Danio rerio: one gene and its partner. The protein of the gene in region 2 purifies or fractionates together with the protein of the main gene of each other region. This does not show direct contact. Links are inferred from orthologs where the notes say so. Each region holds a gene or a part of one and is shown on either strand. Other genes may lie near its edges.

What was found.
Region 1: the proteins of heatr3 (region 2) and tmem186 purify together in Homo sapiens (co-immunoprecipitation; 3 studies listed by BioGRID and IntAct, counting the BioPlex papers as one, with this or other methods). This does not show direct contact. The link is inferred for Danio rerio from reciprocal best matches to the Homo sapiens genes HEATR3 and TMEM186.

What each region holds. Positions count from the first base shown.
Region 1 is NC_133197.1:27,568,359-27,571,190, reverse strand, and holds tmem186 (transmembrane protein 186), read right to left. Parts: upstream 1,702-2,832; 5' UTR 1,679-1,701; coding exon 1,670-1,678; intron 1,581-1,669; exon of another isoform or gene 1,505-1,580; intron 1,399-1,504; coding exon 721-1,398; 3' UTR 516-720; downstream 1-515. UniProt on the Homo sapiens protein: As part of the MCIA complex, required for efficient assembly of the mitochondrial complex I.
Region 2 is NC_133182.1:38,112,173-38,116,457, reverse strand, and holds the end of heatr3 (HEAT repeat-containing protein 3), read left to right. Parts: intron 1-326; coding exon 327-463; intron 464-541; coding exon 542-630; intron 631-723; coding exon 724-867; intron 868-2,971; coding exon 2,972-3,148; intron 3,149-3,504; coding exon 3,505-3,618; 3' UTR 3,619-3,779; downstream 3,780-4,285. UniProt on the Homo sapiens protein: Plays a role in ribosome biogenesis and in nuclear import of the 60S ribosomal protein L5/large ribosomal subunit protein uL18 (RPL5). Required for proper erythrocyte maturation.

The DNA.
Region 1 (2,832 bases), on a different chromosome or scaffold from region 2:
CAATCAATCAAATAACACAGAAGTACTGGGATAACAGTTTATAGTTTAGAATAAACCACTGATGTTTATGGTAAAAATTAAAATTAACGTCATATACATTTAACTTGACGCTCAAAAATAAAGGTTGTAAGCAGTAATTACATTATTTAACCAATAGGTTGAATTCAACCAGCCATCAAAAATATGCCACTGAATAATAATAAAAAATGATCCATCTAGCAATGAAACATGAAGTTTTATGAGTAAATAACAAGCATTTATTGAAAACGAGACTAAAAATAAATATGGGTTGTACAAATTATAATGTTAGATTTCTACATTTAGTGTCATCAGCAACAGTAGCAGAAATTGTGAATCTTTCCACAGTACTGAATATTTTACCATTTATTTATATTTAGCTAATTATTTCTTCATTTTTTTTTTTTATAAATATAAGGGTTCTTACTTTTGTTTTTTTGAAACCAAATGTTTCTTGCAGTGCAGTTTTTGTAATAAAATGGAAAAGAAATGACATTTGTCTCCTCCCCTTTTTGGCTAGTCCGATCTGTGACTAAAAAAAACATTATATGATCCAAACCGTAAGATTTGTGATCTGTTACATCACTAATTATTAATAAAATGCACAAAACAAAAGCTACATATACTTAACTTTACCATAAGATCTTTAATTTCTCACTTTGGGAAAGTTTCATATGACATGACATACAAAACTACACAAATTCATGACAAACTCCCAAAAACCTTCCCAAATGCGTGTCTATCCACCACTCGTCCCAGTCTGGTAGAAAAGTACATGGTATTAGAAGTGCTGTAGCGCTTTAACCGAAGAATTGATTCTCCCCTGGAGTCTCCTGAATCTCCCAGAGTCACAACATCTGAGACGGGTACATAAATGTCTCTTCTGTGACCCCAAAAGCTAAGATGTGACACCTTTAATATGGTCTGTGTTGAATCCAAATACATCATGCCAACCACTCTTCTGACAAAGTGGCTTATGGAGTACAGCATGACTCCAGCAAACAAGGCAATGCCTATTGAGCGATTTAAGACCAACACTGATGCCTGGCCCTGCAGGTGGAGGTAATACACAGTGGGCAGCAGGACAACAGTGATGCCCGTCTGTAAGAGTTTGAGTCTTGAAAGAGCCCGCAGGCCCCTGATTAGTGGAAATGCATAGATTAGACTGTATTTTCTTGAGGCAAGGTCAGAGGAGAATGAGGCCGGGTGAATCCGCGTGGTGTGTGTGGATGTGTTGGGCATCTGTTTACCCATGTGTGCCAGGCCGTTGTTGATGTTGTATTGCATGCGAGCACTTGAAATAAGTCCTGAAGGATGGCATCGAAAGCCATATTGAGGGAAATGACGGGAAAGGTGGATTAATCTTGTTGACATCATCATCTGAGGAGACAGTAAGCATCACAACAGTAGTTATTATTAATGTTAATTATTAAAACAACACAAAATATTTTGATAATGTAACCATCATGACTATTGACTATTTGACCTTGTTTATTATGTTGATAAAAACAGTGCTTGACAAAGGCAGTTGTTGTGTTGGCTCAGATTATGCGTTCCAGCTTCTTATATGCGATAATCATAGAAAATACATAAGCATAATTAAATAACGCGCATTATTATTAAATATTATTTCAGTTTTGAATGAACTCACCATGTCCATACAAGTTCAGTGCATCGCGCACTTCTTCTGTGAAGCTGGACATGAGTTATATTATGTATCGTTTCAAAATAAAAGTCCTTAAATCAACGCTTGTCAAAATCGTTTTTGAAACAAGTTGTTAAAAATATTTTAGAGACATGGAATCTACGTGCACTTTTTGTGAATTAGAGAAGGAATCGATAAAACACCTGTTTGTTGAATGCACATATACCCAAATATTTTGGTTTGATGTTGAACATTTTATATTTAAACTTACTAAATTAAAAATTCAGTTTTCTTGTAAAAATATTTTTTGATATTCAATAATAACAACTAAACCTTGGAGCAAAATTTGTTTATTAATTTAATGATAATATATGGGAAGTACCATGTACACAAACAAAACTGATCCAATGATAAGCCTAATATTTATTTGTTTAAAACTTATCTTATGCATATTGAAACCCTACAAGACATAACAAATAAAAAAGCTATAAGAATGTGTGCAATTCTGAAATAATTTTTCTTATGCAATTTTTTGTAATTTATATATCCCTTATATATTTATATATACATATATCCCGTAATTTTATTTATTTTTTATTATTATTATTTACTGATTTGTTCCTTTGATGTGAAAAAGTAAGCATTTTATTTCTCATTTTGCATGACATTTTCCTTGTTATTAATTATTCGGTGTCATTAATATTTAATTAAAGTGAAAATAAAAACAATTAATAAGCATTTATATATTATTATTCGACACGTTATTTCTAATTTTGGCAAAAATTTTAGCATTAAAAAACAATTGATTGTTTCAGTACCATAAAAGTGTCGTGGGTAACATCAAGGGTGCGAATTACAGGGGGGTTGGAGGGTGGGGGGATTGACCCCTCATTAACACTTCTTTGTCCCCCCTGAAGGACATTAAAACAAGATGAATAGGGGGGGTCAGCTCTTTAATAGCTCTTTAATTAAATATTGAAAATAAAAAATTTATAACATAATAAATATACCCTTATAATGGTTCATACCATGTGTGAAAATATAATCGCCCCAATCAATACTAAGAAAAAATATCATTCAACAACAGTCTGAAACTGGCACCGATAGACATCTCAAGTTTTCACAAAACACTTCTTGTAAAATAGTTGTATTTTGACCTTCAGCAACTT
Region 2 (4,285 bases):
CCTGTGAAGTAAAAACCATTTCAGGTGACTACCTCTTGAAGCTCATCAAGAGAATGCCAAAAGTGTGCAAAGCAGTAATCAAAGTAAAAGGAGGCTACTTTGAAGAACCTAGAATATGACAGACTTAAAGTAGATTAACACTTTTTTTTTGTTATGTATATAATTCCACATGTGTTAATTCATAGTTTTGATGCCTTCAGTGTGAATCTACAATTTTCATAGTCTTTAAATTAAATAACTCTTTGAATGAGGTGTGTCCAAGCTTTTGGTTTGTACTGTATATTAAAATTAAAATTTGACATTGTTGTGCTTTGGTTTTTTACTAGGATGCAGCGGGTGCAGTGTCGGGCACTGACATGTCTCCATAATATCCTCTCCTCTATGGACACAGATTCTCTTGGTGGCGCTTCAAGTCTGCAGGCTGTGGCTCAGCACCTCTCCTCACTGGTCTTCAGCTCGGCAGGTAGACATCTCCGATTAGTTTTTATTCACTTTAAGCAGTGCAGTTGCTTACTTTCTGTTATTATAAATTAATTTCTAGAGGTTTTAAAGGATGAGGAGTTCCTGGAGGCTGTGACCAGTGCTCTCCGATCTCTGCTACAGATCATGGCTACCAAAAACATCTCTCAGGTGAAAACCACAATCTTCATTAATTCATACTTTAGTGAAAATATTTTAAGTGTCTGTTTTTTAAAACACTGCATTTTTTTATGAATTCTGCAGTGTATGACTCCACACCAGCTAATGGGTTTTTGTGAGGCTGCCACCAGCTGCGATCTGGTCAGTGTGAAGGTTAACGCTCTGGCCATTCTTGGAATCACAGGAAGCTCACTTGCCAAAGACAAAAACACAGCAGACACTCTGCAGGTAAATACTGATTGTTAGAATTTTACTGAAAGCTGCTTTACTACTCTGACAAACACACACACACACACAAAATGCTTTGCCTGTTTTGAAACTCTTTTTGAAACTGCATTGTCAAAAAATATGATGTAATTATTAGTTGATCTATTAAGTTGATATGTTGATATTGGGGAAAATGCACTTACTTGTATGGTATACTTAAAGGGATAGTTAACCCAAAAACAAAACACTTCCTCACCATTTTTCACAGTTAAATGGTTCTTTTATGACTTTTTTGAATTTATTTATTCTGTTGAACAGAAATCAAGATATTTTGAATAATGCCAACAAAAAAAAAACATTGACATCTATAGTAGGATCAGAAAATACTATGGATGTCAGTGTGTTTTTCACCAACATTCTTAAGAATATCTTGCATTATTTTATACAGAATAAATAATATCAAACCTGTTTGAAACAAGTGGAGGATGATTAAAAGATAGAATTTTCATTTTTGGGTGGATGAACCATCTTTTCAACTATGGCATATTCTATAAATGTAAAAACAAAAAAACCCTTACAGAGATATACACTAATCTATTCTACTACTACTAATACTAGATTGGACCCTCTTTTGCCTTTAGAATTGTCTTAATCCTTCGTGGAATAGATTCAACAAGGTACTGGGAATAATCCTTAGTGATTTAGGTCCTTATTGATATGATAGCATCACACAGTTGCTGCAGATTTGTTGGCTGCATATCCATGATGCGAATCTCCAGTTTCACCACATGCCAAAGGTGCTCTATTAGATTTAGATCTGGTTAATGTGGAGGCCATTTGAGTACAGTGAACTTATTGTCATGTTCAAGAAACCAGTCTGAGATGATTCACACTTTGACATGGCACGTCATCCTGCTAGAAGTAGCGAACAGAAGATGGGTACACTGTGGTCATAAGGAGATGGACATGGTCAGCAACAATACTCAGGTAGGCTGTGACGTTGACACGATGCTCAATTGGTACTAATGGGCATAGAGTTTGCCAAGAAAAAATCCCCCACAGCATTACATCACCACCACCAGTCTGTAACCCTTGACATAAGGCAGGATGGATCCATGCTTTCATGTTGTTGACTCCAAATTCTGACCCTACCATCCGAATGTCGCAGCAGAAATCAAGACTCATCAAACCAAGCAGCGTTTTTCCAATCTTCTTTTGTCCAATTTTGGTGAGCCTGTGTGAGTTGTAGCCTCAGTTTGCTGTTCTTAGCTGACAGGAGCGGCACCTGGTATGGTCTTCTGCTGCTGTAGCCCATCCGCCTCAAGGTTCGGTGCGTTGTGCGTTCAGAGATGCTTTTCTGCATACCTTAGTTGTAACAAATGGTTATTTGAGTTAATGGTGATTTGGTTTGAAGTGCAGAAGATCGTCTTGACCATGTCTTCATGCCTAAATGCACTGAGTTGCCATGTAATTGGCAGATTAGAAAATTGCATTAATGAGCAGTTGGACAGGTGTACCTGATTAAGTGGCCAGTGAGTGTATTTTGCTTGGATAACTTGAAAAGTTGGGTCATTCTAAATGCATTTTAACGTAGGCTATGCTTTTAGATATTTAAGATTTGTTTTAATTTTTATATTTGTTGCATTAGAGTAAGCTTAACACTGTTAATGTGATTTGTGTTGGGACAACATGAAGGAATAAAGTTAATTAGTATTAACAAATTTAATTGAACTGAACATAAAACTATTAAGTTGTCACTCCAAAAATCTCATTCAGCTCATTTTTTAAAAGCTTGAACAAACAGCAAATGTCATTTTTTGAGAGAATGTCAGCTCCCAACCTTAAAACAACATCAGAATATTATCATGGACAAAAATATTGCATACCTTATCTAATTTAATGCATTGTTTTTATTAAATATGTTCAGTAGAATGTATTCACTATTACAAATGGCTTCATTTATGCCATTATACAGCACTTTGATGTATATTAAATATTTTGATGTACAAATGAAAAATGTATGATAAAATATGCCTGTGCGTTCTGAAGTTAATCAGTGAACAGTGTTGTTGGAGTGTATTTGTCATCACATTGCATGTACAATTGTCCCTATTTCTTTTTGCAGCTGATTGGAAATGCATTACTAAATGTAGCAACAAAGGACGCAAACCTGGTAGTGTGTGGGGAAGCTCTTGATGCTCTCTTCGACGTGTTTGCCGATGGCGATGAAGCAGAGAAAGCTGCAAAAAATATTGACCTGCTTTCTTCTCTCAAAGCCCTTCAACCAGGGTTTAGAGCCAAGGTTTGTTTAAAGCCAACAAGAGATATTACCAGGAATATACAAGCGCACTCATCCATCACATTCACACGCCCAAGCTGTAATATTAAATCAGAAAAACCTCCCAATACATGTTCAGGCTTGAGCTCAAGGTTCAAGCTTGAGTTCTGTTGCATAAGCACATCTCTGCCTGACAGAAAGAAGCTCTGAAAACCAGCTCAACAGATCTGTTTTGGTTGGCTGATCTTTTACTTTATAACTCTAAAGTACTTTTTCAGCTGCTTTTATCCATTCACAGCATGGCCATTGCTGGATCTCTGTATGTTCTTCGGCCTTTAGATGGCAGGCTTTTCACAGTTTAACCGTTTGTTTCCTCACAGCTGCGAAAAGAAGGCAAAGGAAAATACAGCCCTGATCAGCTTTGCGTTCTGGACAACATAAGGATCAACCTGAAGAGATTTATCGGCTACTTGGAGAACCTGCAAAGAAAATGAGATTTAAGTGATCAGCAGAGCAACTCTTATTTAGCATTTCCTGTTTATAATCCTTTTTGGTTTTATTTTTATGTGAGAGTGTTTATGTGAGGAAATGAAGACATAAAATAATGTTTGTAAAACCAAACATATGAGTGCTTTAATTAAAGCATTAACTATCAGTATGGCCTCTTGTGGTGCTTTTAAGAATTAAAAGCACAGTTTGTCCCAAAAAATGAAATGAAGTTTCACAAACTAATTTCGAGAGGAGCATGTGATATGATTGATCGCGGCAGGTCTCTCATCTGTAATCATTTGTAAACTACTTGGATTATTCCAAACTCACTGTAAATAGCTCGTCTAGCATTACTCCCTCGCCTTTGTTTTTTGAAGAATCCCCCCACCCCACCCCCTTTCCTCCTTTACCAGGGGGAGCTCTTGAGAACTACCTGATCTTGTACCTCCTTACATGAGCCCTGAGCTCAGAGTTCTCTCCTGGCCTGGGACAGCATGCAAAACCTGCTTATAATATCAAGCAATATCTGAGTGTGAACTTTTGAATTTTTCATCATTTACTCAGCCTCCATTTGTTTCCGGGTTTCTTTTTTTGTTTAACACAAAATATATTTTGAAAAATGTTGCAAACTGGCAGCCGTTCACTTTCATTAGGATATTTTATTCCTACTAC